Xenopus tropicalis: one gene and its partners. The protein of the gene in region 6 interacts with the protein of the main gene of each other region in a pairwise test. Links are inferred from orthologs where the notes say so. Each region holds a gene or a part of one and is shown on either strand. Other genes may lie near its edges.

Region 1 (3,500 bases), on a different chromosome or scaffold from region 6:
GAGTAAGGCCATAAAGCAGATGTATCTGGAACTGCCACAGGGAGATAAGGTGCAGGCTATGTACATCTGGGTTGATGGGACCGGGGAGGGTCTTCGCTGCAAGACTCGCACTCTGGACAGTGAACCCAAGACCATAGAAGGTGGGACTTTCCCCTTCTACAGCCAAGAAATCAAGTCTTGTTTTTCTCTCTTTCCTTCTTAAAAACACAACACAATCTACTTGCAAATAATTATATGTATCACCCATACAGCAGACTAGTTAAACCTTAAGGATGCAGGCTGTTTTCAAGACCAGAAATGAGTAGTAACTAATTGCATCCAGTTATATGGGTTTAGGCCCTAAGGCCTTGCTGTCTGCAAGTGTTCTGTTATACACTCTTTTACACTTTTATACCAATCTACCTATTGTTCTTCATGTAGGACTATAAATCTAGTGCATCCCATAAGCAAGGAAAATATATGAATTACATATTATACTGAGGTGTGTTTAACACTATAGCCTCAGTAACATCCAGTCGCTTGACATTTTGCCAAACACTGCCATTAGATGTTTTTACCCCACTGAAACACACTAAAAGACAAAAAACTCTGTCAAATCTGCCTGGAAATACAATCAAATAGTTTTATATCTATCCTATTTTACACTTCCTGAAAGACAGAACTGAAAATTCAGTAGGTTCTTTGCCTGCAGTTAAACAGGTCAAGGTTTTGCCTTCCCTACAATATGGCTCTAACCTTGTACAGATCTTCCTGAATGGAACTTCGATGGATCTAGCACATACCAATCCGAGGGTTCCAACAGTGACATGTACCTGATTCCAGTTGCAATGTTTAGAGACCCTTTTCGAAGGGACCCCAACAAGCTGGTACTCTGCGAGGTGCTCAAATACAACCGAAAAACAGCTGGTAAGAATATTTTTTTTTTTTTACTTTTCCAGTGTGAATTGTCACTTGCCAAACTAGTAGTGCTGCACCTCATCCTTGCCTTTCAGTACTTGTTGAGCATCATATTTCTGCAGATACTGTACATTATATATATATATATATATATATGTACTCAAATACTCAAGCACTAATTCAGTGAATAACGTTAATAGTATATATGCCCATGTGACTTTTTTTAGAACACGGATTCCATACTAGCTTAATTCCTGATTAATTACCATTAAAAGACAACTACTTGCTCCTAGTATTAGGATTATATATCTTAATGATGGTGGGTTTAGCCTTCCCATCATTTCCAATAAGGCCTGTTTCTGCCTTTCATACAGTCTACCGTGCATTTTATTTTCCAGACATTAGCCAATAATTAGCTCCATTGGGCAATACTTTGTTTGAATGATGTTTTAATAAAGCCTTTACTTCTTTCTATTTATAGAAACAAACTTGCGTCATACATGTAACCAGATAATGGACATGATGGCCAATGAGCATCCATGGTTTGGCATGGAACAGGAATACACATTGCTGGGTATGGATGGACACCCTTTTGGCTGGCCTTCAAATGGCTTCCCAGGACCACAAGGTATGGGTAGATTCAACAAGGATTTAGAAAAACTGTAATGTCTTTGACAGTGAAAAATTACTAGTTACCTCCTTACATATTTTGTGATTCTTATTGGCTTGTTGAGTATTTACAGTTATGTGACAGCCCAAACCAATATAGAGTCAGTACTTTTACAGTAATGTCTCATGGAGAGATTAGACGCCTGCAATAGATCTCTGCTACCGCAGGCGACTAATCTCTTCGAAATGCCTTTCCAGCAGCAACACAGGGATTCGCAGGTGGAAAGGCCTATGCGTCACTTCGGTTTTCTGAATTTGCACAAAGTTGCCTGCAGGAGGAAACTTTGCACAATTTCAGAAGACTAAATAACATCCTTGTTATGTCACAACACAGTAGCCTAAAGTTCTGGTTACTTGACAATAGTGTGCATGATAAGAACATGTTTATGGTTACAGCTTACCTCATCTTATCTTATCAGAGACTTCTGGAATCCTATATGTATGTATGTATGTATGTATGTATATCTTTATTTATAAAGCGCTACTTATGTACGCTTTATATGTACATTAATACAAACGGGATTATTAAGATAATAATAGATAAATACAAAGTACAACAATAAATACAGATAGATACAAGATAAATACAGTTGCAATAAGTTAAGAGTCAAAGACACAAGAGGATGGAGGTCCCTGCCCCGTAGAGCTTCATATCTATATGGGAGGGTAACTAACAGACACAAATAGGAAAATGCAGTATAAGTGCTGTAGGTCACAGAGGGTGACACTATAATATAAGTGCTGATTCCCAGAACAGGTGCTGGGTGAATGCCCCAAAAGGTAGTCTTTAAGTTTAGTTTTAAAAAGACTGGGGGAGGATTCTCTCCGGAGGAAATCAGAGAGGGTATTCCAAATGTAAGGGGCAGAAAGGTTTAAGGCGGGAAACAGCAGCAGTAGTAGTGGGGGGCACAACCAATTGATTGCTCTGCGAGGAACGAAGGAGTCGGCCAGGAACGTACGGAGACACAAGAGAAGAGATGTAGTGAGGAGCAGAGGAATGGAGGGCTTTGAAGGTTAAGAGAAGGAGTAAGTGAAGGAGATAAAATGAAGTATGTTTCTAAAAATCAATACTGCTGTATAATTGTGTTAATGTATAAAATATTAAGTGTAGGAGATGTAAAGAGATAATTATATTTTTATGTTTTACAAATATTCTGTTTCTCTTCAGGTCCCTATTACTGTGGAGTGGGTGCAGATAAGGCATATGGTCGGGATATTGTGGAGGCTCATTATCGGGCTTGCCTTTATGCTGGTGTGAAAATTGCAGGAACAAATGCAGAAGTTATGCCAGCACAGGTAAGACATGGAAGTGCTGGGAAAAGATCTGTTTTGGTTTCTAGTATCTGTGATTTTCTGATTTTCCTTTGGGGATGCACTGAATCCAGGTTTCGGTTCAGGATTTTGCCAAGATTCTGCCTTTTTCAGCAGGATTCCGATTCGGGCGACTCCATAGTCTTGGCCGAACCAAATCCTTAAAATCACATAAACACGGAAGTTGAAAATTTTACCACCGCATGCACAACACGTGGTTCTTCTTAACCCCTTGAGCTGGCCATACACGTGGCGATCCGACGATGTTTCGTACAACCATCGGTCGCACGAAACATCGTCAGATCCGCCACACACCATTCAGGGCTGAATCGGCAGGTAAGGAGGTAGAAACAATAGGATTTCTACCTCCTTCTGCCGATTCAGCTCTGAAGGGAGAATTTTGGTCAGGCGCCTTCTATGGCGCCCGATCAAAATTTTCTAACCTGGCCGATCGACGAGCCGACCAATTTCAGCAGCTTCCTGCGACATCGGTCGGCTCGCTGACATACCATACACGCACCGATTATCGTACGAAACGAGGTTTCATACGATAATATCGGTGCGTGTATGGCCACCTTTGGTCGCTTAATTTACATATGCAAATTCGGAGTCAGTTCGGTATT
Region 2 (4,099 bases), about 4.4 Mb from region 6:
CATAAAAAAAGTTAATTTAAAGGTGTACAACCCCTTTAATGAGGCACAGAACTGCTCTGTGTGTTCACATGTAGAACAGAGGAATTTCAGTCCCTTCCACATATTATATATACCCCATATTGGTACGTGCTACAAGCAAGATATAGGATTTGGGGTCTTGTTTACAACTGACTGACCATAGGTTTGCTTGTCCATGGTTACACTGATATTCCTAAATTGCAGCCCTTTAGTGGTTTCTAATTTACAAAATTTAAATGGACCTCAGCACACCCTAGCCTCTTCAATATATAAATGCTCAATGTGCAAGAGTGGAGGGTTGGCACCAACTAGCAGAGAATATGATAGGGGCTCAACAAAACATATGCAAGTGGCGGTAAACCCCTATGTGTTTATTACTTGGGTATTCAATATTTTGGGAAAACGCCCCAAATGTAGTAAATGCTTCCCAGTGCTATAGATATAGATATTCTCTACTATAAACCCCTTCACCCTGTGTCAGCAGGTTTGAATGCTCAAAATTTCTGGGACCTGTCTATTATACCGGCTGCAAGGACTATTAGTGCCTGAGATTTTACCCCTGATCTGGGCACATTGGGTTGTAAAAGTTATGGCTCTTTGGGGAATATTAAAAGTATATGGGAAATAAAGGAAAGGCAGAAATAAAAAGAATGGTGGGAAATAGGAAGATGGGATGAGCACAGAGTAGGAACCTTTAACCTGTGGCTGTTCAGCAATAGATATGTACTAAAGCGGCACACTGACTGGTAGATCACTGTAGATCACTGACTGGTACAGGGTGAAGGATGCGGCAGGAAACTGGGCATGAATGGATGGGGGCCACTGCTGTGCCGAGGCAGAAACAACAGAGTTCCTATTCACAGCTAAAGCACTCATTCAGAAAGAACTGTATTTGATTAAAATGTCAGCGTGCTGTGAGCTCTGTGCAGTCACCGGGGCTCAGTAAAACCAGGGTGTTTGTTGTACCCACCGCAAGGCCTTAGGGCAGTGGTTCTCAACCTGTGGGTCGGGACCCCTTTGGGGGTCCAACGACCATTTCACAGGCGTCGCCTAAGACCATCGGAAAACACATATTTAGGAATAATTTTATGGTTGGGGGGTCACCACAACATGAGGAACTGTATTAAAGGGTTGTGGCATTAGGAAAGTTGAGAACCAATGCTTTAGGGTGAAAACACACTGGGCTACTAGTAGCAGCTACTTTTTCATTGCTACTAAACTACAAAAAATACCCTGCCATAGACAATACTGAGAATTGCTTCTGCTACAACACACGTAGAGACAATTATCAGTAAATGATCAGCATTGTCTGTTTCTATAACCATGACAAGTAGCTGCTACTAGTAGCTCTGTGTGTCTTCAAAAATGGTCAGCTTCGTGCCTCCCAGCATTTTCCTTCAGATACTCACTGCTGGCACAGCAGCACCTTTGAGCACAGCTTGGTACAGGGCATAAAGGGTGCACTTATGGGTGTTTTACAGTGTGCCAGGAGCCCGATAGTTGGCACTGCCACGGGTGCACTGCTGTAACGGAAGTCGTGCCAGCTGAATTCTTCTCTATTTACTAAGCAAACTAAGAATGGCCGGCGGCACCCTGCTGAACTACCATTGGGAATGGGGGCACACCCTGAAATAAGTGTTAGGCACCACAGTCCTGCCGCCCCCCCAAGTGTCTCAAACACGTTTTTGATCCAGGGACTGGTCCGATTGCCATCTTGGAAGGAATTTTTTCCCCTCTGTGGCAAATTAGAGAGGCTTCAGATGGGGTTTTTTGCCTTCCTCTGGATCAACTAGTAGTTAGGCAGGTTATATAGAGGCATTATGGCTGAACGTGATGGACATATGTCTTTTTTCAACCCAACTTACTATGTTACTATGTCCCAATAGGAAGTCACTGTCAGTTCTGCAGTTTCCATTTTGGAACCTACAAACTGGGTGATTTCCTTTCAAAGGGTGGGGTTGGGACACCTCATCGTTGGGGAGGGGAAGGGGGGGGGTCACACATTTTCCCGTAACCCTCTCAGCAGCTGAAGGGGCATATCGCTACGGTAACAGGAAAAAGGGGACCCATTGACTGTGTGATGAATGGGACATGGATACAAACAGGGATCCATAGAGCTTGTGTATCATTTGCACTGAAAGGAACACAAAGGGTAACAGAAAAATGATTATATACATATATATACGTGTAACATATATATATATATATATATATATATATAGACCACATACACTCACATATATATATATATATACTATATATACACCACACACACACATACATATATACTATATATACACCACACACACACACATACATACATATTATATATACACCACACACACACACATACATACATATTATATATACACCACACACATACATACATATATATATATATATATATATATATATATATATATATATATATACTATATGTATCACACACACAAATATATATATATAGTACAAATGCCCTGCATAGCCACCCTATATGTATCCAAGCACCCACTCCCCCAGGGCACAGTGCCCCTATGAGGCAGAATGACGCCCTGACAGAAAGCTGTGCCCGCTGACACCTGTACCAGGGACGCCTGAGTGACGTCACGCCGCCGCACACGAAGCGCTTGACAGACGCAAACCTTGCACCGTATATCTCACCTCAGGCCCCCGGCGCTGCCACACTGACTCCTCCCTCCCCGGGGCTTCACAGGAACGGAACAGAGGCGAAAGCAGACACTCTCACGCAGGCATTTCAGCCCCGCCCTCTTTCGCGCGTAAGGGCAGGGCAAAAGCCAATAGCAGCACGCCAGCCTTATTGTATGACCAATGAGAAGCCGAGCCGGCGTCAGGAGGGCGGGGCTAAGGCAAACTTCCCTGTAGCGACTGGAGGATAAGGTTACGCTCGGTTTGGCAAGCCGACGACGGAATTGACCCAATCAAAGCGAAGCTACGGAGGGGAAGCAGCCAATCATTAGGCAAAGAAATGACAGCTGGGCGTGGCTCAATTAAATGGGCGGGGGTAGATCAGGAAATGATATCCAGTGGCTGAGGCGTAGGGTTTGAGCGGCAGCTGCGCTCTTTGGTAGCCTTGGTGCTGCTGTGCGCACATATTTAGATATAAATGCATCCTCCCTTGTTACAAATAATAGTCAGACCTCCACGGCTGTATTATCCCTTTACGTTTTATTACGTTTAATTTGTGGGTTGCAGTGGTCCTCCTAGAGCTGTAACTATAACCTCTATGCTAACGCTAGATGGCGGGGGGGGGTGTGTAATATAATGCTATGCATGCTGCAGGTCTAGTAACGCATAGCAACTGATCAGCTGGAAGCATTTGAGAATGGTCAGGTCAGCTGTTTACAAGCAAACGTTTTAATTGGTTACTATGGGTTACTGGACCTGGGCAACCTTTGGATCTTTTATTCAATTCCCCTGCAGTGTTGGGCTGAGGTACTTTAGGCCCAATGGGAACCCAACTTACATATCTTGGTGGAGCCAAAGCTGCTTGCTTGATAGCCTCACTGCCTTGGGCTCCTAAGTCTCCCCTAGCCAATCCTCATTCCTGGAGTCCCATTCCCCTGACCATGGAGCTGTTGAAGTGGTCTCCTGCCATCCTTCTTTACTTAGGGGTTGCAAAATAACGATAACATTCCCCCCCTTTCTTTTAAACACGGAGGGCTTACATTTCACTGCTACATCACTATCCTAGTTGAAGGTAGAATGTTTAATCCAATTCTCTTATAATCTCTGTGTACAAGTAACATAGGAAACATATAATAGATATATATATATATATATATATATATATATATATATATATATATATATAGACAGAGTACCGCACACATAGGGACTTTGTGGTCAGTTGCCCTGACCACTTCTATCGCTAAGTCCCTGTGTGTGCGGCTCACTGTCTTGATGTATACATGTTTTGTGCAAGCACCCGGGGCATTTGATTACCATTAGGGTGTGCTCTGTTCTTTCCTGTGTGTATATATATATATATATATATATATTAAATTGAGCTGGTCAGAGTGCAGCCTCTTTCATTTTATATGTACATATATATATAAGTCCA
Region 3 (4,093 bases), on a different chromosome or scaffold from region 6:
TTTTGGAGGGACGTCCAGTTCTTGGTAATATCACTGTTGTGCCATATTTTCTCCACTTGATGATGACTGTCTTCACTCCATGGTATATCTAATGCCTTGGAAATTCTTTTGTACCCTTCTCCTTACTGATATCTTTCAACAATGAGATCTCTCTGATGCTTTGGAAGCTCTCTGTGGACCATGGCTTTTGCTGTGGGATGTGACTAAAAAATGTCAGGAAAGACCAACTAGAGCAGCTGAACTTTATTAATCAGAGGCACTTTAAATGATGGCAGGTGTATGCTGACTCCTATTTAACATGATTTTGAATGTGATTGCTTAATTCTGAACACAGCTGTGGTGTGCACACTTATGCAACCACATTATTTTAGTTTTTTTGGTTTTCTTCCCTCCACCTAAAACATTTCAGTTTGTTTTTCAATTGAGTGGTACAGTTTATAGGTCACAGGTGGAAAAAGTTCTGAAATTGTTTATCTTTGTCTCATTTTTGTACAGCACAGGAACCTGACATTTTACCAGGGGTGTGTAGACTTTTTATATCCACTGTAGTTGCTCTGGAAGACAAGCCACAGTAAATGCTGTAACAAAATCCCAGCAAATTGTTTGGTCTTTTGCTTCTCATCTGAGGCACTCATCAGGGACGTTGTCAGTGTTTCCCATCTGTATACAGACATAAATACCTAGAAACATTTTTACAAAAACACATGTTCAGACTGACACAACCATTTGACAACAGTAAAAGTTTTTGTTAAAATTTGAACCTAATTTATTTTTCATTTTTCAAAATAATCACAATGACCTGGAGGAGGGCATAGAAAGTACTGCTGCTATTTTTGCTGATGATACTAAATTGTGCAAATGTGCTGATGATAATAAATTGTGTAAAATGTTGCCACTTTGCAGAGCGATTTGATTAAATTGGAAAATGGAAAATAAGGTTCAATATTGACAAGTGCAAAGTTATACGCTTTGGTAGAAATAATATAAATGCAAGTTATACATTAATGATAAAAAACATAGTCAAGCTGATGCTTGATGTAAGTTGATTTATTTTACTTAATTAATTAATTACTAATTAATAAAATTGCTATACAATGCTGAAAACCTAACCATAACATGCTTCAAATGTGGGACACGTCTTTGAAAACAGGAAAAATCAACTTTCACAACAAACACAATATTACACATTAGCTGTGGCTCTGTTGTAACAATTGCCTCATATTTATGTTGACAGTCATTGCATCTGTATTACTGTAAAAGTGTAGCTGGCTGACTCAAGAGCAATTACACACACAACAAGTAATGTTCAAGGTAAGGTCTGTGCTATATTTTCTGCATTTTAATAGCTAAAATCTGAATAACTTATAGGATTCAGATATGATCCAAGAACACTCACAGTTATAGCTTTTTTATATTTGTACGTTTTGCAGCAATTAATCTCCACATTAAAACTGGCACTGGATTTGATAAAGTGTGAGCATTTTTTTGGTAGTTACAAGTAGTTACTTTTTTGCAAGTATATATTGATATTATCAGTCTGTTGAGCTTCTGAACTCATGATTAACCAAGCAGTTGCAGGTTCTGTTTCCCTTGTTAAACCCTGTGGGATCTCTCCATCTAAGCGACCCAATGCTTTTAGGGACAGGAACATATTTAGGGGTAGGTGAGTTGATGATTTAAGAAAAATGTATTGCAATTCCAACAAATATTTAACTATTGTTTTCATCTTATTTTATTGTTCCTTTCCGAGCTTGTCTGAAACTGTCAGTGACAAACAAGATAACATCCTGTTCACTTTACTGACAGTCAATAAGAAGGTTTGGATGTGTGTGTGACCTGCTGTAATGCACATACCAGTACTGAGATATATTCAGCATAGAGAAGCAGGGATGGTAGGGGCAATATCATTTGGTGTTTGATTTACAGTTTACACTGAGCAGCCAAATCTGGCTGTAGCTATGTGCATGGATGGAAACAGGTATTGGCTTGTATACACAGCTTGTGCCACAGTGTGGTTTAAGCCTGGTGCAGTGAGCCGTAGTGTACAAAGTTTCACTGACCTTACTGGGGCTTATAAATAAGTAACTAGTATTTTAGGAAAATTATACAAATTTAAAAATAAGGCACAATTCATGTTATTAAATTTATTGAGGAATGTCACACATCACAAGTGACATACATGACATGTGCAGCCATAAAGAGAATAGCGCTGCACGTCAGGCCATTGTGATACAAACATCTAGCAGTGCCACCTTCTCTGGAGATAAATAATAACATTGCCATTAATCAACAGTTATCCCAACTGAGCAGTTAAATAGCTGCCAGCCTGCCAGTAGGCAACCCTCAGGCCCAGACTGGCAATCTGTTTCGATTCTGGCAAACGCGGAAAGGCTACTGTTAGATGCCATAGAAAGTCAATATAATGGGCTGATGGGGGGCTGTTTGGGCCTTTGTGGATGTAATATGCCACAACCTATTCTGAATCTCAGTCCAGATCAGGCAACCCTACAAACATTAAATCTAATGACTGCTCAATATTTACATCACACACATTTATGTACATGTAGATACAACCCTAAGCCCTGTATATATATATATCATTTTTTTAAACCACCACAACCGCTATACTCTGTGGCTCATAAGCAAGTTCTTTTCAGTTAAAGGAGGGACCATTCCTTTATTGTTTTGCAAGTACTTTTTATTATAAATCAGTCATCTGTGATGGAGAATTCTACGCACAAGCTCATCTGTAGAATTTGTGTTAAAGTTTCACTACTCAATGTGTTGCTTATACTACATTTTCTACAGTCACCCAAAACTGGAAACAGTTCATTGTGTGCTAAGCCTGTATCATCTAGGGACCCCCAAGCCCTTACACCCTTTTAAGCCTCTTTTAAATTTTGCTGGCACTTCCTTTCTCCCATTCACGCCGCATCAGGACATGTCAGCAACTTGGGTTACTCGGGTTTTTGACATGCCGCGATGTCACAGCCATGTGACCAAGATGTGGGCGGGAGAGTGTGACGTCAGGAGCCAGTCTGTGTAGCGCCAATCAGATCAGACGGACCGCCCCGCGTCACAGCGCCACGTGACACCAAGGAAATGGAGCTAGTTTTCCCCATCCAAAGAAGTGAGCAAGAGGTCTGAATGTAGACTTGTGGTGGCGCAGGGTTTAAATGTCAGAAAGGTGCAGCAAGAGGTGAGGGCAAAATGGCGAGGGCATCAAGGGGACCGTTCGGCAGTTTTGGGGCCAGTGATATAAAAAGTACCCAGCAGTTGGAGGAGCACACTGTCATTTGTATAGGGCTCCTGTCAGTGTCATATGTACAGGACTGCAGGAGTTCATGTATGAGGAATGGAATGTGATTTGTATATGACTGCTGGTGAGGTACTGTGTGATATGTTCATGGCTATGTGATGTACCGTGCTGACTGGCACAGCAAGGGTGATGTGTATAGGGGTGTTGGAGGAGGACTGTATGATCTCTACATGGGTGCTGGAGGAGGGCAATGTAATCTATACAGGGGTGCAGGAGGAGGGCAATATGATCTATACAGGGGTGCAGGAGGAGGGCAATATGATCTATACAGGGGTGCTGGAGGAGGTCAATATGATCTGTACAGGGGTGTTGGAAGAGGCCAATATTATCTATACAGGGGTGTTGGATGAGGGCAATATGATCTATACAGGGGTGCTGAAGGAGGGTAATATGAACTATACAGAAATACTTGGGGATGGCATGTGAACTATACAGGGGTGCTGGAGGAGGGCAATATGATCTATACAGGGGTGCTGGAGGAGGGCAATATGATCTATACAGGGGTGCTGGAGGAAGAGGGCGATGTGATCTATACAGGGGTGCTGGAGGAAGAGGGCGATGTGATCTATACAGGGGTGCTGGAGGAGGAGGGCAATATGATCTATACAGGGGTGTTGGAAGAGGGCAATATGATCTATACAGGGGTGTTTGATGAGGGCAATATGATCTATACAGGGGTGCTGGAGGAGGAGGGCGATGTGATCTATACAGGGGTGCCGGAGGAGGAGGGCGATGTGATTTATACAGGGGTGCCGGAGGAGGAGGGCGATGTGA
Region 4 (3,947 bases), on a different chromosome or scaffold from region 6:
TAGGGTGTAGGAGCAGAGAAAGCAGACCCAGCAGTTGCTCGCTGAGGGGGGGCAGGGATATAGGAGACTGGTCTGGTGTGTGTGTGTGTGTGTGTGAAAAAGACACATTTCCCCAAGACGTGGGAGATTCCTATGAAGAGTTCCTTACCTTTCGAGCAGAAGACCACCCTGGCGCCACTCTTTACTGCAGATACGAACAGAAGGGGCACAAAAGAGAGAAAAGAGTCAGTGCTACAGGCACATACATGCAGTATCTATGGTAAATGGCTGCTGCTGTATTGTAACACACTGAGGATCCATAGTAACACATACATGCAGCAGGATTGGATTTTGGGCTTGAGAGAGCCTTTTGTCTCCACAGTGGGGACTTCTCCTAAAGCAGGGCCCACAACCTTTCTTTCCCGTGAGCCACAGTCAAATGTAAAAAGACTTGGAGAGCAACACAGGCACCATAAAAGTTCATGGAGGAGCCAAATAATGGCTAAGATTGGCTATTAGGCAGCCTCTATGCACACTATCAGCTTACAGGGGCTTTATTTGGTAGGAAATCTTGTTTTTATTCAACCAAAACTTGCCCCCAAGTCAGGAATTCAAAAATAACTCCCTGGTTTGGGGGCACTGAGAGCAACATCCAAGGGGTTGGGCAGCAACATGTTGCCCCCGAGCCACTGGTTGGGGATCACTGGCCTAAAGCTGCTATTAGTGCCATGTGGATGCACGCTGCAATGTTTGGCGACTGGTTTAGCCTGAGATCAGGAGCCTTAGGGTAGGAGAGGCCCAAATTGTGTCCTTCTAGCACCTAGAAACTATGACTCCCTCTTTCTTTGCACTGCAATTAGAACAGGCTTGGTGTGACGAACCAGAAAGCTTTTCTTCTATTTCCTAGAAAGAATAATCAGTCACCTGTCCCTTATTACCCACACCTAGCAGTAATGCCCCCCCTATAGTGGGTACTTAGTTACTTCCCAAAGACTAGGGGGTCTGGATGAATGAGCCCCATAGTCAACGAAGTAAAGAAGATATGAAAAGCCCAAAGCAAGCTGATAACCTCCGTATTGCGTGGGTCATTATAAAGGGTATAGTACATTCTACACGACAGAGCGCCAGAGAGGGGGTCGAGCCTACACAACCCATCCCCACAGTAATAACAGGAGAAATCCTGCCCTCTGGACTTTGAGCTGAACAGAACAACCCAACCAAACAAAATGTATGTGTAACTTGTCCTTCTGCCAAGTCAAGCCAAACAAATAACACATCCAGGGCAATGTACAGATGTTGCTGGGCCCCACTATGTATACAATAGTGACTGTTTGACTGTCATTGAATTATAAGTCCCAATAAGGTGGGTGCCAGTTATACCTCGAAAAGAGCCCAAGGGGCATATATTGGGCAATGCTAATATAAAGTGCAACTGTCTGCATCTCTTCCTTCTGCTCCCCGTTCTTTTTACCTACAGCTGCTGCTCTGGCCCTACAATGTGCAGGGTTGAGGGCCATTACCCTTGCTTCCCACCTCAAGCTTTGTTGGTGTGATTAACCTGCCGACCCTCAAAATCTAACAGAAAAGTAGTAATAAAACTCCATAGGGCAGAACTCAGTTGTGGATATTGGCTGAAAATGCATCAATACAACAACATCTGGATTCTAATTTTTAGATTCGTTTTTAATTGGCCTATAGCGCTAGGATGACAGCAACAGCAAGCTTCATCCAACAAGACTAATCATAGACTTAGTTATAAATACAGGAGACAGGGTTAAACCATCTTGGCTGAAATACTGAAATTAAGGCTAGCTCCATATCCTTTTAGAGCAACAATGGGCACATCCACAAAGTTGGTGGAAATCCTTAATGATTCTCAACACAATCCATTTTTAGTATCACTATAATTGTGCTGCATTGGCTTCTTAGCACTTTAGTTCCACTTGGACATTGGGCATTTGTTGAATGCCAGTTCATAGCATATATATATATATATATATATATATATATATATATATATATATATATATATATATATATATATATATACAGTATATATAAATACATTATCCACAATTCTTCATAAACCTCAGTTGTAAAGTGGCAAAGTGCCACTTTATGTGAAGGGGTCATGGTAACAATCCCCTATAAGCACAGAGACCCATTTTTGAGCTTTGAGCACTGGATTCAGAACCATTGCCTTACTCATTTGGCTCCACTCTAGTTATAAATGCATTGAGGCGCTGCACTAAACCAGTAGAAAAGTGTGGTACTGGCGCTAAATAGGGATGCACCAAATCCAGGATTCGGCCAAGATTTAGTCTTTTTCAGCAGGATTTGGGCGAATCCATGCCTTTGGCCAAACCAAATCTGAATCCATGACGTTTTGTCACGTAAATATGGAAGTTTCTCTTTAACCTTTACTTTGCTTGGTATTCGGCTGAATCTTTTGCAAAGGATTCGGGGTTCAGCCAGACCCTAAAAAGAGGATTGGGGGCATCCCTAGTAGAAGAATGCAGGTACCCCAGTGCCCAGGGCTGCTTTATGCCACTGCCCATATACACAATAATAAATAAAAGGCAGATACATTGGGATTTAGTTATAAACTTTAGCAGCAAACTGAATCCTTACCAAACTCCTTGACCATTGCTTCTCCGATGCCCTTGGTGCCCCCCGTTATGACTGCCACCCTGTCACGGTACCGCAGACTCAGCTCTGCCCCACTGGCAGCCATGGTGCTTCTCCTGCGAGGAACCCAGTAGCAGTGCCCAGAGCTGCAGGGAGCAGAACTTCAGTCACGCTCTGAGCAGCTGATCTAACAGGAAATAAGTTGGCTGAGCTCCAGGCCCAGGGAATTATGGGGGGCGTAGTCCTGAGAAGCCAGTGTTAAGAGTTATGTGGAATCCCATTGTTTTGTATGGAGAGGAAGAAATCTGCTCCGGCAGGGTGTGTATCTGTGCAGCCTGAGAATTACCTGCTAATCGATTAACAAGCAAAGACAGGCTAATAAAGCATTTATTACTATATAATGAATGTACCCGAATGGTTGGATACAGGAACAGGGAATATTTTACATTTGAGATATTGAATTAAAGGGACAGTATATCCCTAAAAACATATTTGCTAAATATTAGCACATCAAATAGGACTTATGCTAAAATTACATTCTATTGTTTTAATTAACAAAAATAAAAATTTTCCTATTTTTTGCCATTATAAAGCACTCAAAGCAAAAGTTGCTTGGTAAATCATCTTGGCATGCCATTGTCCTTATCCACTAAAGTACAGGTATGGGACCTGTTATCCAGAATGCTTCACACCTGAGGTTTTCCAAATAAAGGGTCTTTTTGTAATTTGGATCTCCATACCTTAAACCTAATAAAAATCATTTAAACATGAAATAAACCCAATAGGACTGTTCTGCCCCCAATAAGGGGTAATTATATCTTCGTTGGGATCAAGTACAGGTACTGTTTTATTATTACAGAGAAAAGGGAATCATTTAACCATTAAATAAACCCAATAGGGCTGTTCTGCCCCCAATAAGGGGTAATTATATCTTAGTTGGGATCAAATACAGGTACTGTTTTATTATTACAGAGAAAAGGGAATCATTTAACCATTAAATAAACCCAATAGGGCTGTTCTGCCCCCAATAAGGGGTAATTATATCTTAGTTGGGATCAAGTACAGGTACTGTTTTATTATTACAGAGAAAAGGGAATCATTTAACCATTAAATAAACCCAATAGGGCTGTTCTGCCCCCAATAAGGGGTAATTATATCTTAGTTGGGATCAAGTACAGGTACTGTTTTATTATTACAGAGAAAAGGGAATCATTTAACCATTAAATAAACCCAATAGGGCTGTTCTGCCCCCAATAAGGGGTAATTATATCTTAATTGGGATCAAGTACAGGTACTGTTTTATTATTACAGAGAAAAGGGAATCATTATAACCAAACCTG
Region 5 (4,024 bases), on a different chromosome or scaffold from region 6:
TGATTCCCTTTTCTCTGTAATAATAAAACAGTACCTGTACTTGATCCCAACTAAGATATAATTACCCCTTATTGGGGCAGAACAGCCCTATTGGGTTTATTTAATGGTTAAATGATTCCCTTTTCTCTGTAATAATAAAACAGTACCTGTACTTGGTCCCAACTAAGATATAATTAATCTTGATTGGAGGCAAAACAATCCTATTGGTTTTATTCAATATTTAAATGTTTTTTGACAGACTTAAGTTATAGAGATCCAAATTACAGAAAGATCGCTTATCCAGAAAAGCTCATGTCCCGAGCATTCTGGATAACAGGTCCCATACCTGTATATAAATATAGCTTCTGCATAATACCCTGTGCCAGTGCTAGCCATAAAGGGTACTTTATTGTTAGGTATTGGTTTATCTTCCCCCCCAAAAATACATCTAAAGCTTAAATTCTGATTTCTATGGCCCCTCCATGTAGCTCTTGCCTCTCCCAACACCCAAGACCCATTTGGTATGTTCTCACCACATCCTTTCACTTTGTAACCTTGTAGCCCCCTCACTGCACTGTAACCTATAGCCCCTGTTCCAACAGACATTAAAGGGGATGTAAACCCTGTTGCACAGCGCTGCTCAACCAAACTTTACTCAGGTGTTGCTGGACTACAAATCAAAGCAGGCAGAACTCTGCCCATTCATTGGCTGATGAGACCTAGCATGTATGTGTGCCTTGGCTTGTTTGTATGCACTGTGACTCCTGTGATCCCAGGGGCGGCCCTTAGTACTTAAAATGGCAGTTTCCTATTTAGGATTACCCAATGGCACATACTACTAAATTAGTATATTTTTAATGAAAATGGTTTATTTCAGATGAAGCAGGGTTTTACATATGAGCTATTTATGCAATATATTTTATAGAGACCTATATTGTTTGGTGGTATAGTTTTCCTTTAAAGCAATATTGCACAATAATATTTTTCCTAAACTTTTTCCCAAATCTTCGCAGCCAGCGACTGCTTTAAAATGTGAAAAATATAAATATATATAGAGATAATGATGGCATTTTCCCCTCATTATATGGCACAGGAATCAGACATGGGGATAAGGGCAGACTTGTTCAGTGCTGGGAAACTGGGTTTAATGCTCCCAACTCCAATTGCAGGAACAGAGAACATGGAGCCGGATTTATACAGATCAGCTGGGATTCTCATTGGGAGATTTTTTTGCATTTTAAAGAAGACGCTTGCTTTGAAGTAGTGACAACGCAACATCAAAATAAAGGTTGCGGGTCCAGTCTTTCTTCTTCTTCCCTCCCCACCCGCATCCTAACTGAGCCCTACTTCTGGGTCTGGCTGCGTCTCTTTATAGGCACGTGTCTGCCCCCCTCAGTGATGTCACAGGTGGGGCAGGCTCGGGTCTATAAATAGATGCAAAACTGTAGGCCGGGTTGGGTACGGGTGGAGAAGGGGCGGGTTAGGGGCAGGTGAAGATATAGGGGAAAGTTTAGGAAATGTTTTATTGTGCAATATTGCTTTAAAGGAGACATATTGCATAATTGGGAAAAATGCTTATTTTGTAGGCAATTATTAATAATATACGGTGCTGGTTTCACTTTGGGCTAAAAATGAATCCCATCTGTAAAAATGGCCCCTTTATTGGAGCTCCCTATAGATCCTATCACTTCTCCGTCCAGTGTGAAATGAGGGGTGGGTGTGTCCTAACGGTCCCTGCCAGAAGTACAGTAGGAGGGGGAGAGCCAATCACAGCCCTGCACTCACACAAGCACAGACAGGCTTCAGTTCCCTATCAGGTTAGCCTAGCTGCTGATTGGTTCCTATCCTACAGTGCAGTGTATGGAGGGCCGCCGGCTCCCCAGCTCATCCAGAAAATTCAGCCAGCAGGAAGTGGAACAGATGGCCGGGACTAGTGGGGTTTTTGTGGAATTTCTCAATAAATCAGTCACAACTTTTTTAAGCACAATCCTTCTATATCTAGAGGAGTATAATACACTGGTACATTCATAATTTTTATAGGATATGTCTCCTTTAAGAATACAACCCCTGATGTTGCTGGACTACAGCTCCCAGCATGCCTCTACCTTTATTATATGTTACATTATTCTGGGATTTGTAGTCCAGCAACAACTGAATAAAGTTTGGTTGAGAAGTGCAGCAGGGTTTATATCCCCTTTAACCTAAAGGCCACCCAAGTGCACCCTACTGACTCCTATGGATCAGTGGAACTGGTGCAAATGTCTATAGCTGGTATGTAGGGTTAGTCGCTGTCTGCTTATAGAAACTCCTCTATTAATCACTGCCAAATTAATTTTCTGCATTTGAAGTAATTAAAAATGTCAATTTTTTTTTAAATGTGTAAATGTACTTGCTATTGAAAGCAGTATTTGTCCCCTTTCTGTTCTCTGGTTCTGACAATGTAGCACCACAGTTATTTAGCTGGTTTCTGCGAAGGTGTTTCAGCAGTCAGAACCAGCAGTGCAGGAAAGATAAAACAGACAGAGGCTGCCTTTAGTAGCAATTACGTAGAGAAATAACTTTAAAACCAGTGAAAATGGGCAATAAATATGTTTATAGGAAAGTTGCTTAGAATTACATTGTCTTTTATGGAGCAGCATTCAGTATTACTACTCCTACCTGCCCCTGTGTGCTGCCCCTCTCCCTGCCATTAGCCCATGCATTACCTTGGCATTGTCTGTTTGATTGCAGTTGTCTCTATTGCAGTAATACATGTCTGTCAGGCAGGGCAGCCCCGGGATGTGCTTCAGTGTGTAGGGCTGGGGGTGTTACTGTGCAATGCATACACTGCCTATAGAGCAATCAGACAGGCACAATTACGGGCAGCCCTACCGGGGTCCTCACCGTTCCGCTAGATATAGAGCTCCGTTCTTTTTTCGAACGCGCAATTTTTACGCTAATAACGTCGCGTTACTCCCACAAAGTTACAGTAGTGTTACGCGGCACCGCCGAGGATATTATTCGTGATTTTCTGTCAGGCAGTATGATGGACGGCTATCCCAGGGTCCTGATCCTAAATAAGGCGGTGACCGGGCAGCCGGTTTCCCTAGGACCCCAGCGCAGCGCTGTGACATTTCTATTCACAGAGCGGAAACGGTGCTTTTGTAACGCTGCTTGTGGGGTTGGTCGATAGGATTTCTGGCAGCTTTTTTTTTATTATTTGTATCAGGCGGGTTACAAGGCAGCCCAGGTCGGGGGGGTCCTTGGTTCCAGGAGGTGCCGCAATATGGCCGCCTCCTTGAGACTTGGCTGTCAGGGGTTTATTAGGTCATTTGTCGGGGGGCTCCGGAGTCGTAACGGAGAATGCAGAGTGAGGGCCCTACACACAGCCGGGATCCTCAGGGGTAAGTAGGGCCGGGGGGGGGGGCTTTGCTTGCTCCTTTGTATCTCTAGCTGCTTATTGTAGCTGCCATTGCCCCAAACACTCACCCATGGGGGTTCCCCAGTTGCCAGTGAGGTTGCCCCATGGGGGTTCCCCAGTTGCCAGTGAGGTTGCCCCATGGGGGTTCCCCAGTTGCCAGTGAGGTTGCCCCATGGGGGTTCCCCAGTTGCCAGTGAGGTTGCCCCATGGGGGTTCCCCAGTTGCCAGTGAGGTTGCCCCATGGGGGTTCCCCAGTTGCCAGTGAGGTTGCCCCATGGGGGTTCCCCAGTTGCCAGTGAGGTTGCCCCATGGGGTTCCCGGTTGCCAGTGAGGTTGCCCCATGGGGGTTCCCCGGTTGCCAGTGAGGTTGCCCCATGGGGTTCCCCGGTTGCCAGTGAGGTTGCCCCATGGGGTTCCCCAGTTGCCAGTGAGGTTGCCCCATGGGGTTCCCGGTTGCCAGTGAGGTTGCCCCATGGGGGTTCCCCGGTTGCCAGTGAGGTTGCCCCATGGGGGTTCCCCGGTTGCCAGTGAGGTTGCCCCATGGGGGTTCCCCGGTTGCCAGTGAGGTTGCCCCATGGGGGTTCCCCGGTTGCCAGTGAGGTTGCCCCTGAGGTTGCCCCATGGGGGTTCCCCAGTTGCCCCTGA
Region 6 (4,000 bases):
CCCTTCGCCCCCTTGGTGGTGCAATCCCAGAATGCCACAAGACCTGGGCGGGTCGTTGAGCAGACATCTCAAGGAGTTGAGAAAGCTCGCTCTGCTTGTGGAACAAAGAATGACAGGAAGGCAATGAGAATGGATGGCACTCCGTAGAACCCACAGCTGCCCCTCTGGGCCAAAGCACAGAAGAACGAGACGCAAGGCCAAGTGGGGCGACGATAACACCTGAGGCAGGACAGAGGGATGTGAAGGGAGTTGCCGGTATGCCAAAGCCAGCTTGATGTGGGGTAGAATATCTCTGCAGCGCAAGGGTAATGGGGAGACAGTATCCCACCACGTGGCCTGCAGAGATTCGGAGTCTGCTAAAAGCTCGGACTTCAGAGAGCCACCTACAATGGAGAATACAGGTTAAGAACATGCTGCATCCAAACAGACCAGAAGCTTTATGTGTGCAACGTGGTGCCTAAACAAGCCCAGCCCCAGCCTGACTCTAGGCTTCTATAGATACCTGTCTGCCGGGCCAGGAATACAAATCGGATCCAGGCAGTTCCTCTCTCCTCCACAGCCAGAAGGGTGATCGCTTCACAGGTAAGTCCGGTCTCCTCAGTTACCTCTCGGCATAATCCTTCCATGAGAGTTTCTCTCTTCTCTAAGCGCCCAGCAGGCAAGTACCAGGTTCCTCTGCATTCAGGCTTTGCCTCCTGCATCATCAACACCTCATCCTGCAAAACATTACTCTTACTACAAAAAAAACTGGCCACAGTCCTGCCATCCTTCACTTGGGCACAGTCTGCCCTAAGGTTCCTTATTCCTGTATTGTCCCTGGCACACTTGGCTGGCCCCTACTGGCCTTTCCTTGTGCATTCTTTTCCCACTGAAGAGAAAACAAGTAAAAGTATCCTATCTCTAAAGGATAACTAAAGCCTAAAAATTAATAGGTAAAAATAATGTATTTTATATACTGAATGTACTGTACCAGACCAGAGGAACAGCATATAACAGTAACAATCCAGGCCTATGAATTGTCCAAAGCAGTGCCCCATGATCTGATTTTTTACTGTTGAGTGTCAGCGGCACTGCACATGCTCAGTGTGCTTTGGACTGATGTTGAGATGCAAAGCTTAGTGGTTATCATTGGTATGAGGTTACATTTGTCAGAAACGCTGATGAAGCCACAGGGCTGAATATGAAACATTTTTGGTGCAAACCGCCATCCCACTATGTAATGTGAATCTGAATTTATTGGTAATCCAATATGAACTTTATACAGTATATAGTGAGTGGGTCCCTAAGCTCAGGTAAGTGCCAGCAGCACAGAGTATGTGCAGGGAATCAGCAGAAAAGAAGATGGGGGGCTACTGGGGCATCTTTGGGGGCACAGATCTTCCCTGCTAAAGGGCCTGTCTACAAGCTTTGATTTAGCTTTACTGGCTCACCCGCTCATTCAGTAACACTCCCATGACGATGTAGCAAACGTTGTGTCGCAGTCTCAAAGGTCGGGGGGTTTCAGGAGCCACGTCATATGTTTCAGGCAAAGGGACAGCCCCACCTTCCAGGATGATGCTGAGCTCCTCTTCCAGGGCAGAAGACATAACTGACATGGGCAAAGGACAAGGAGCAGTGAGATGATATAAAGGCAGCAGCCGGGGTTTATCACTGAGATGCATTCAGTAAAACTACATTGTGAAGCAATATTGATGCACTGCTCACAAACAGGCCCAGACTGGGACACAAAATAGGCCCTGGCGTTTCAAGTACACAGAGGCCCAAACAGCCCCCCACCAACCCAATAAATAGTGAGTGTCTATGGCATCTTACAGCAGCCCCTCTGGCATTTGCCCCAACCCACAGATTCTGGGCCTGCTCACAACTAACGCACACTGACAGCATTTAGGGCACAGGTTCCCCTAACAAAACCAGCTAGAATTATACCTGATGCTGCTATTCAGTGAAATTCATAGGGGTCTGAGTGAAGGGGCAACTCCAGCAATAACTTTTTGCCTTTCTAACAAATATATCTATTGGCATTAGAAGGAAGGCAGCATCTGAAAGGAGTCTGTTCTCTCCTGTCTGCGTGGGTTTCTTACAGGTACTCCGATTTCCTTCCACACTTTAAATACATACAGACAGGTTCATTGGCTCCTGATAAAATTAACCCTAGTGTGTGTAAAAGTGATAGGGACCTTAGATTGTTAGCTCCATTGGTGCAGGGACAGATGCACCCTAAGGCTGGCAGCACCTTTCCCTGCAGGGGTGGACTGTAGGCTTATAAGGTGCAGGTAGGTTGATATCATGAGCTAGATGGTCTCTGAGCCAGTGTAACCCTCAGTGCATAATACCAAAGCTTAGTGCTGGGCAAAGAGTGAAGCCAAACCAGCCCTTATTGGGAAATGGGCAAAACAATGACTCAGAAGTCAGGAATCAGTAATTATAGAGCTGAACCCAATCAGCCACCGTATATTTACTCACAGGGATACTAAATGCACAGCATGGAGCTGCACAGATTCTCTCTCCCACCCATACACCCAGGCATAGCTCCCTAACAACGATACACAACATTACTATTACTCACCTAGTGCTTCAGACGCGGAAATAGACTGTCATCTTCCTGTTCTCGGATTGGCGCCCCCTAACCCAGCCCCCGCTTCTGATTGGCTTCCACTGGCTTTGGTTTTAGAAAGAACGGGGGAAAATATGACAAAAAACTTGATCAAATGAGAAAAATGGGTGGAATGTGGGTGAAATGTACCTGCTGTTTTCTTCCTGCCAGTCCTCAGCTGCGGTTACTAAATGTACAATTTAATCAACTTTCCCGCACAGCAAACGCCGTGTTTGTTTCCACCGCTAGGTGTCGCTAGTCCGACACTCTTTTTCGCCTTATTGAATGGAGTATAACCAGGAGCATTCTGGGAGTTGTAGTTTCGTTTAAAGCTGCAGGGCTGCCGGCTACGTATTGCTGAATTAATATTTAAAATCGAGTTTCCTACTACAAATCAGCTTTTGCGGCAGGAGTGAACTTTGCAGTCTGGCTTAATGTTTGTATGCTCCCTTAGGTTACAGCAAGGCCGCCGCTCCCTATAAGCAGAGTACTCAGTCTGCATAGGGCACCAACTCCCAGGGGGGCACCATCCCAGCTGCTCCAAAAAAAAAACATTTTTATATATTATAACATACCCCCCCAACACTGTCCCGCCAGTTTTTATAGCGCATCCCGCTGTCCTGGATAGTTCTATCAATCTATGGGGGCAATTGGGGGCACTTACTATGGGGGCATTGTCTATGGGGGCAATTGGGGGCACTGGGTGTGGGGCCCCTATAGTAGGTGTTTTTTTTTATTATTTTATTTTTACTTCCATAATATTTGGGGGAGGGGGCACAAAAGTAAATTTCTGCTTAGGGCACCCATTTGGCCAGCAGCGGCCCTGGGTTACAGACCCCTGTTTACTTACCGGCTTTCTAGTCATTTATGGCCCTGTCTTGGCCAGTTGCACCTCCACATTTTGTGCAGGTAAAACCCCACCTTTTGCTATATTAAATCCGTATTAATGACAATACCTGAGAAGTATCATTTTCCCTGACTGGGCCAGTGGCAACCCTACTGCGTGTGGTGCCTGATATCTGATATGCACACACATTACCCAGCATTCAGTGCCAGCCTTGGCACACAGTGATAGACAAGTGGTATCCAGCATGGAGCTCAGTACAGAATGGGGGTAAAGTGGGCACTAAGCAGTGAGTTATGCCAGTACAAGGGGCAGTGAGGAATGCCAGATGGCTAGTGGTGTAAGTGCCATTGGTGCTTACAAGTGATGTTGGCAGTGAATTCTCCAGGCCCAGCGGCTGCTCTCCCTTGCCCCTATGTTATAGCGCCAGTGCATGTATCTGTGGGCTGCCCATGCCCCCTCTAAGCACCACTCTCCCTGTAGAACAAGCTCAATTTGCCAGGACTGTTCTAGTGAGTTAGTTCATCCATTCCTTTAAAGGAGAAAAAAAGGTAAAAACTAAG
Region 7 (4,296 bases), about 26 Mb from region 6:
GTACTTATGTCAAACTGTGCTCCTTGCACTTCCATACAGTTGCATTCTGCACCGCTCAGTCCTTCTATGCTTGCCTCCCATTCCAAACTGAGTGCACTTGTACCTACTGAGGCCAAGGAACCCCGGAGCTCCCACCTACCAACCATGCAGTAACTTTAGGGCTTCCTAAGTGCCCTGTGTCTATGCACCCAAAGAATAGGATGCACACGTCACTTGCACAAGAACACTGGAAATGCCATCAAATGGACATTGGTACAACTGCATCTGATTGCAAAGAAGTGTAAAGGCAATTACTTTTACTTTAACTGCAACGAAGTTGGGAAAAAAAAACTTGGCAATTGTGCTCGAAGTTGCACTTTGGTCACTGTATTTGTAATAGCAACTGGCCCCTCGTGTCCAAGAATGTTAATAATAACCATAATCATATAAAAGTGGCAGAACTGCTACATTCCTCACCTTAAAATTATTTAATCTAAAACCATTCAGAAGCAATTTTGCAGAGTTTTTTTTCCAAATGTTTTATTGTTTCTTTTGTTGTGTAGATGAATATGTACGTTTACAATGCATTTTTAATATCTTTTCAACCACCCAGACAGGAAGTGGGTATCTTACAATAAAAAGAGAGTCATAAAAAGGACTAATGATTTAGAAATTCATTTCATATACATTTGTAGACTTAAGCCTGTATTAATAAACAGTGACTGCATAGAGAAAGCAGACAAAACTACAGCATGGTTTTATTAAATAGCACCTTAAAGGACAACAACTAAACAGTGCATTATACAAACAAAAAAACCCACAATAAATGCAAGTTAATGAATTAATTTAATTCTGACCAGTAGAGCCAAAGCCACCAGCACCACGTTCTGTATCATCTAAAGCCTAAAATAAAAAATAAAATGAAATTGTGAAATAAAACACTACAATGGGGCACAGTTTTAATACAGTACAGGTATGGGAATCAAAGGCATCCTTCCACCATGCTTTAAAACATTTAAACATTAAAAAAAAAACCCCAATAAGATAGGTTGACTTAGTTAATGCAGTCTTATTAAGTTCATGACATAGTCCTTTTGACAGATTGAAAAGCTACAGTCGGGTTGCCAGGCAGCCGGGTTCAGGATCTTCAGTAGAATTTATGTAGAAAAACAGGACTTTTAGGAAAAAACAGTCAACATGACCTATAAGTAGGTTTGGAAGTAGGTTTATATATTTTTAAAATAATTTTTTTGGTGTATCACTTTAAATATGATTATGTATTCCTGAATCTTCTGGATAACAGATGCTTTACCTGTTCAACTAATACAGAGATACATACAGGACAGAAAAAAAAAATAGCTTACTTGGACTTCTTCAAGTTCAGGGTATAGTATTCTCTCACATATCAACTGTGCCACTCTATCACCTTTTTTCACTAAAAAAAAAAAAAAAAGGCAACATAAAATCCAAATTATACCAGAGTTTTTTCCTACTACAGAAAAACATTACATAAAGATGAAACACCACATGATAAATAACGAATTAATTTATACACCATTAAACAGGCAGGCAATCTTCTGTGATTTTGACTGATTTTAGCAATATCAGCAAGTCTTAGAGAGAGTAATAAAGATATAAACCACAGTACGATTGGGGAAACAGAACAGTTTACATTTGTTACTGCTAGTTTACTTAGCAGAACCTGCATTAATAAATGATCTGGGACAGCTCTCCATTTAAAGTTTCATTAAAAGAGAAGGAAAGGTAAAAACTAAGTAAGCTTTATCAGAAAGGTCTATGTAAATACAGCCATAAGCACTCACAGAAATGCTGCACTGAGTTCTCTAAAAAGATTTCTTGTGTCTGTAATTCATGTGCTAGAGACACGCAAGCTCTCTGATGCCTCTCTCCTGCTCCCCCCTCCCTCAAGAATGCTAAGACTCACTCCGTCCCCCCCTTAGGGATGTGGGTCTGAGCCAATCAGCAGGAAGCTGAATCATAGTCATACTAACTGAGCATGTTCACTTGGTCTGGGTGTCTGTGCAGAAGCGAGGCATTATGGGAACTTTCTTTACTCGGCTCAGCATTTTTTCTTCCTGTTTGACTTTTGATCATCTGAACAGGTGAAATATGGGGAGACTTAAGGGTACTATTGAGACAACTGAAGGTATGCCTTCAGTTGTCTAAAGGTATTACCCTTTCCTTCTCCTTTAAAGGGGCTGCCTAATTTGTGTGAATTTCAGCAAACTAAAATTAACCATCTTTGAAAGCAACAAGTGGATAAATTCAGCAGGCTTTTATAGTGGAAACTCTTCTCATCCAAGTTATGCAAGGAGAAGGCAGAGACAATAAAGTAACATCATAATCTACTTTTGGCTTATGATTTCTTTCTTCGGGTTAGCAAAGGACAGAGTTATCAATAATGTTAAGATTTCATGACTTTTCATGTTCAGCTGAACCTAATCTGCACTTTTTGGGTTGGGTTTAATACATGGTAACAAACATAGAAAAGCTTTTAGTTTTCATTTAGAAACAGCTCATCTGACTATCTTTAATAAGTGTAATGTTGTCTACAACTCTCACGTGAAGGAAAGATTAGGGAAAAGCAAGGGGTAGCAGGCACAGAATACAAAGCAACAAGTACAGTCTACAAAGCTCTTTCATAACTACCTGTGTAGCAAGTAACCATTAGAGTCATTGTGAAAAGCTGATTTTTATGGCAAGGTAGATTTTTACTGCAAGATGTCAGGAAGAATATTGCGAGGAGGGATCTCAATGTGTTTCCAATTTAAACAAAATTCTTGCCTCAGTTTCTGTATATTTGGGAATGTTTGTTTAATAAAGCATCATCCACTTAATTTACATTATAAAAGATGAATATTTTTTTTTTTTTTAAAAAAAAAACTAGTAGTTTGTCCTATTTAACCTTTAATGCCATGCAAATCAATTTTATGCCTTTACAGGACAATGTGGCCCTTTATGGGCATTTAACTGACCAAAACCCATAATATACACCCACCGAAAATACTGCAGTAAACTGTCTGTTTGCTTAAACTGCATAAGCAAACAACCCCTTAGGGTGTATGCAAGACAATGTGTGAGAGGAAGTTAGAGTGTGTAATACTCACGTAAATCTCAGCATTTAAATTACTTGCTTACCAGTACTCAGAGGTTTAATATGTCTCTGTTATTAAATGCAGATCTTTAATAAACTATTTTTTCACCGCATACATTGCCAAACTGATCAATGATCTAACCAGTTGTTATTTGGTTTTGTGTAGAATGATCACCAGTCAATCGGCTTTAAAATATGCAGGTCATTTCCATTAATTCTACATACCTTCAAAAGCTTCCTTCCCAAAATTAAATAACACAACACCAACATTCCCTCTGTAGTCCTCATCAATGACCCCGGCTTCATGTAAGGAGAGGTTTACATAATACAAAAAAAAAAAAAAAAACAAACTGCATTAATAAGGATATACATACAGGACAGCATTTGTAAAAAAACAAATTGGATTTACAGCAGTGGGGTAATTACAGTAGGATATAAATATACTTGACTATTCTTTATAAAATCTGTAGTATACATATTAGGTTAAAAATGACACATTAAATAAAGTTCACTTGTATTCTCCGTTATAGAGAAATCAGGTGAAGAGAAATTAAATGTGAGAATCTTCTCAGCGAATAATGTTTTACTGGCAAGGTAATTTATTCTGAAGAAAGGGCACATTGTCTCTATAGCAATAGGACATAAAGACTGCAAACACTGCAGGCATACAATTTATTTTTTCCCCAACAAGAGGAATGCAAAACAATTCTAGAAACTGTTAGGGCCTTATTTATGCAATCAGATATGGAAAACATGAGTTTCTGGAGTTATTCAGGGTTATTTAACAAAAAAAATCCAAAAACTGAGTGTTTGCCTTGTCTCATGTTTTATACCACTAGAAAACTAAATGCATAAATTCTGGCAGTAAAAAGGCCCTTAAAAAAAAAACCTGAAAATACAAGCAATGTGAATATACATACCTCCAACATCAATGAAATACTTGGCAGCTAAGCCAGAACGTGGAGCTGGAGACGAGAGAAAATGGTCACGAGATGCAACTAACATGCAAATCTTAAACTATCCACTTTGCATTCCTTGAAAGAAATACAGGCAATGCAATAGAACTATATACAACAAATCCCTATTTGAAGTTAAAATGTATCTGTGGTAGTTAGGGTGCTGTAGAAAACATGACCAGCAGGGCAAGCTCAAGCTACACTATTTTGCCTGCTGTAAAGATGTTATTGCAGATGATTAGCTTT

Evidence for each region.
Region 1: the proteins of nudt18 (region 6) and glutamine synthetase interact in a two-hybrid assay, tested with the Homo sapiens proteins (2 studies listed by BioGRID and IntAct). The two-hybrid records come from large-scale screens. The link is inferred for Xenopus tropicalis from reciprocal best matches to the Homo sapiens genes NUDT18 and GLUL.
Region 2: the proteins of nudt18 (region 6) and evi5l interact in binary tests that used the Homo sapiens proteins (3 or more experiments, as listed by UniProt). The two-hybrid records come from large-scale screens. The link is inferred for Xenopus tropicalis from reciprocal best matches to the Homo sapiens genes NUDT18 and EVI5L.
Region 3: the proteins of nudt18 (region 6) and nadk interact in a two-hybrid assay, tested with the Homo sapiens proteins (2 studies listed by BioGRID and IntAct). The two-hybrid records come from large-scale screens. The link is inferred for Xenopus tropicalis from reciprocal best matches to the Homo sapiens genes NUDT18 and NADK.
Region 4: the proteins of nudt18 (region 6) and hsd17b14 interact in binary tests that used the Homo sapiens proteins (3 or more experiments, as listed by UniProt). The two-hybrid records come from large-scale screens. The link is inferred for Xenopus tropicalis from reciprocal best matches to the Homo sapiens genes NUDT18 and HSD17B14.
Region 5: the proteins of nudt18 (region 6) and apip interact in binary tests that used the Homo sapiens proteins (3 or more experiments, as listed by UniProt). The two-hybrid records come from large-scale screens. The link is inferred for Xenopus tropicalis from reciprocal best matches to the Homo sapiens genes NUDT18 and APIP.
Region 7: the proteins of nudt18 (region 6) and dut interact in binary tests that used the Homo sapiens proteins (3 or more experiments, as listed by UniProt). The two-hybrid records come from large-scale screens. The link is inferred for Xenopus tropicalis from reciprocal best matches to the Homo sapiens genes NUDT18 and DUT.

The regions. Positions count from the first base shown.
Region 1 is NC_030680.2:100,277,500-100,280,999, forward strand, and holds part of glutamine synthetase, read left to right. Parts: coding exon 1-140; intron 141-744; coding exon 745-906; intron 907-1,378; coding exon 1,379-1,525; intron 1,526-2,734; coding exon 2,735-2,862; intron 2,863-3,500. UniProt on the Homo sapiens protein: Glutamine synthetase that catalyzes the ATP-dependent conversion of glutamate and ammonia to glutamine.
Region 2 is NC_030679.2:134,010,146-134,014,244, reverse strand, and holds the start of evi5l (EVI5-like protein), read right to left. Parts: upstream 2,801-4,099; 5' UTR 2,680-2,800; intron 1-2,679. UniProt on the Homo sapiens protein: Functions as a GTPase-activating protein (GAP) with a broad specificity.
Region 3 is NC_030683.2:91,985,716-91,989,808, forward strand, and holds the start of nadk (NAD kinase), read left to right. Parts: upstream 1-1,293; 5' UTR 1,294-1,311; intron 1,312-3,069; exon of another isoform or gene 3,070-3,199; intron 3,200-3,295; exon of another isoform or gene 3,296-3,388; intron 3,389-4,093.
Region 4 is NC_030683.2:114,406,471-114,410,417, forward strand, and holds the start of hsd17b14 (17-beta-hydroxysteroid dehydrogenase 14), read right to left. Parts: upstream 2,801-3,947; 5' UTR 2,714-2,800; coding exon 2,611-2,713; intron 185-2,610; coding exon 149-184; intron 1-148. UniProt on the Homo sapiens protein: Catalyzes the NAD(+)-dependent oxidation of L-fucose, yielding L-fucono-1,5-lactone, which rapidly converts spontaneously to L-fucone-1,4-lactone. Can also act on D-arabinose and L-galactose, with lower catalytic efficiency. Does not use NADPH.
Region 5 is NC_030680.2:11,183,871-11,187,894, reverse strand, and holds the start of apip (methylthioribulose-1-phosphate dehydratase), read right to left. Parts: upstream 2,801-4,024; 5' UTR 2,733-2,800; coding exon 2,685-2,732; intron 1-2,684. Other genes in the region: pdhx (pyruvate dehydrogenase protein X component, mitochondrial), read left to right, coding at 3,245-3,362. UniProt on the Homo sapiens protein: Catalyzes the dehydration of methylthioribulose-1-phosphate (MTRu-1-P) into 2,3-diketo-5-methylthiopentyl-1-phosphate (DK-MTP-1-P).
Region 6 is NC_030679.2:129,564,568-129,568,567, forward strand, and holds the start of nudt18 (8-oxo-dGDP phosphatase NUDT18), read right to left. Parts: upstream 2,801-4,000; 5' UTR 2,567-2,800; intron 2,554-2,566; exon of another isoform or gene 2,464-2,553; intron 1,589-2,463; 5' UTR 1,587-1,588; coding exon 1,431-1,586; intron 717-1,430; coding exon 503-716; intron 384-502; coding exon 1-383. UniProt on the Homo sapiens protein: Mediates the hydrolysis of oxidized nucleoside diphosphate derivatives. Hydrolyzes 8-oxo-7,8-dihydroguanine (8-oxo-Gua)-containing deoxyribo- and ribonucleoside diphosphates to the monophosphates. Hydrolyzes 8-oxo-dGDP and 8-oxo-GDP with the same efficiencies.
Region 7 is NC_030679.2:103,767,502-103,771,797, reverse strand, and holds the end of dut (deoxyuridine 5'-triphosphate nucleotidohydrolase, mitochondrial), read right to left. Parts: intron 4,060-4,296; coding exon 4,015-4,059; intron 3,395-4,014; coding exon 3,320-3,394; intron 1,415-3,319; coding exon 1,344-1,414; intron 883-1,343; coding exon 826-882; 3' UTR 501-825; downstream 1-500. UniProt on the Homo sapiens protein: Catalyzes the cleavage of 2'-deoxyuridine 5'-triphosphate (dUTP) into 2'-deoxyuridine 5'-monophosphate (dUMP) and inorganic pyrophosphate and through its action efficiently prevents uracil misincorporation into DNA and at the same time provides dUMP, the substrate for de novo thymidylate biosynthesis.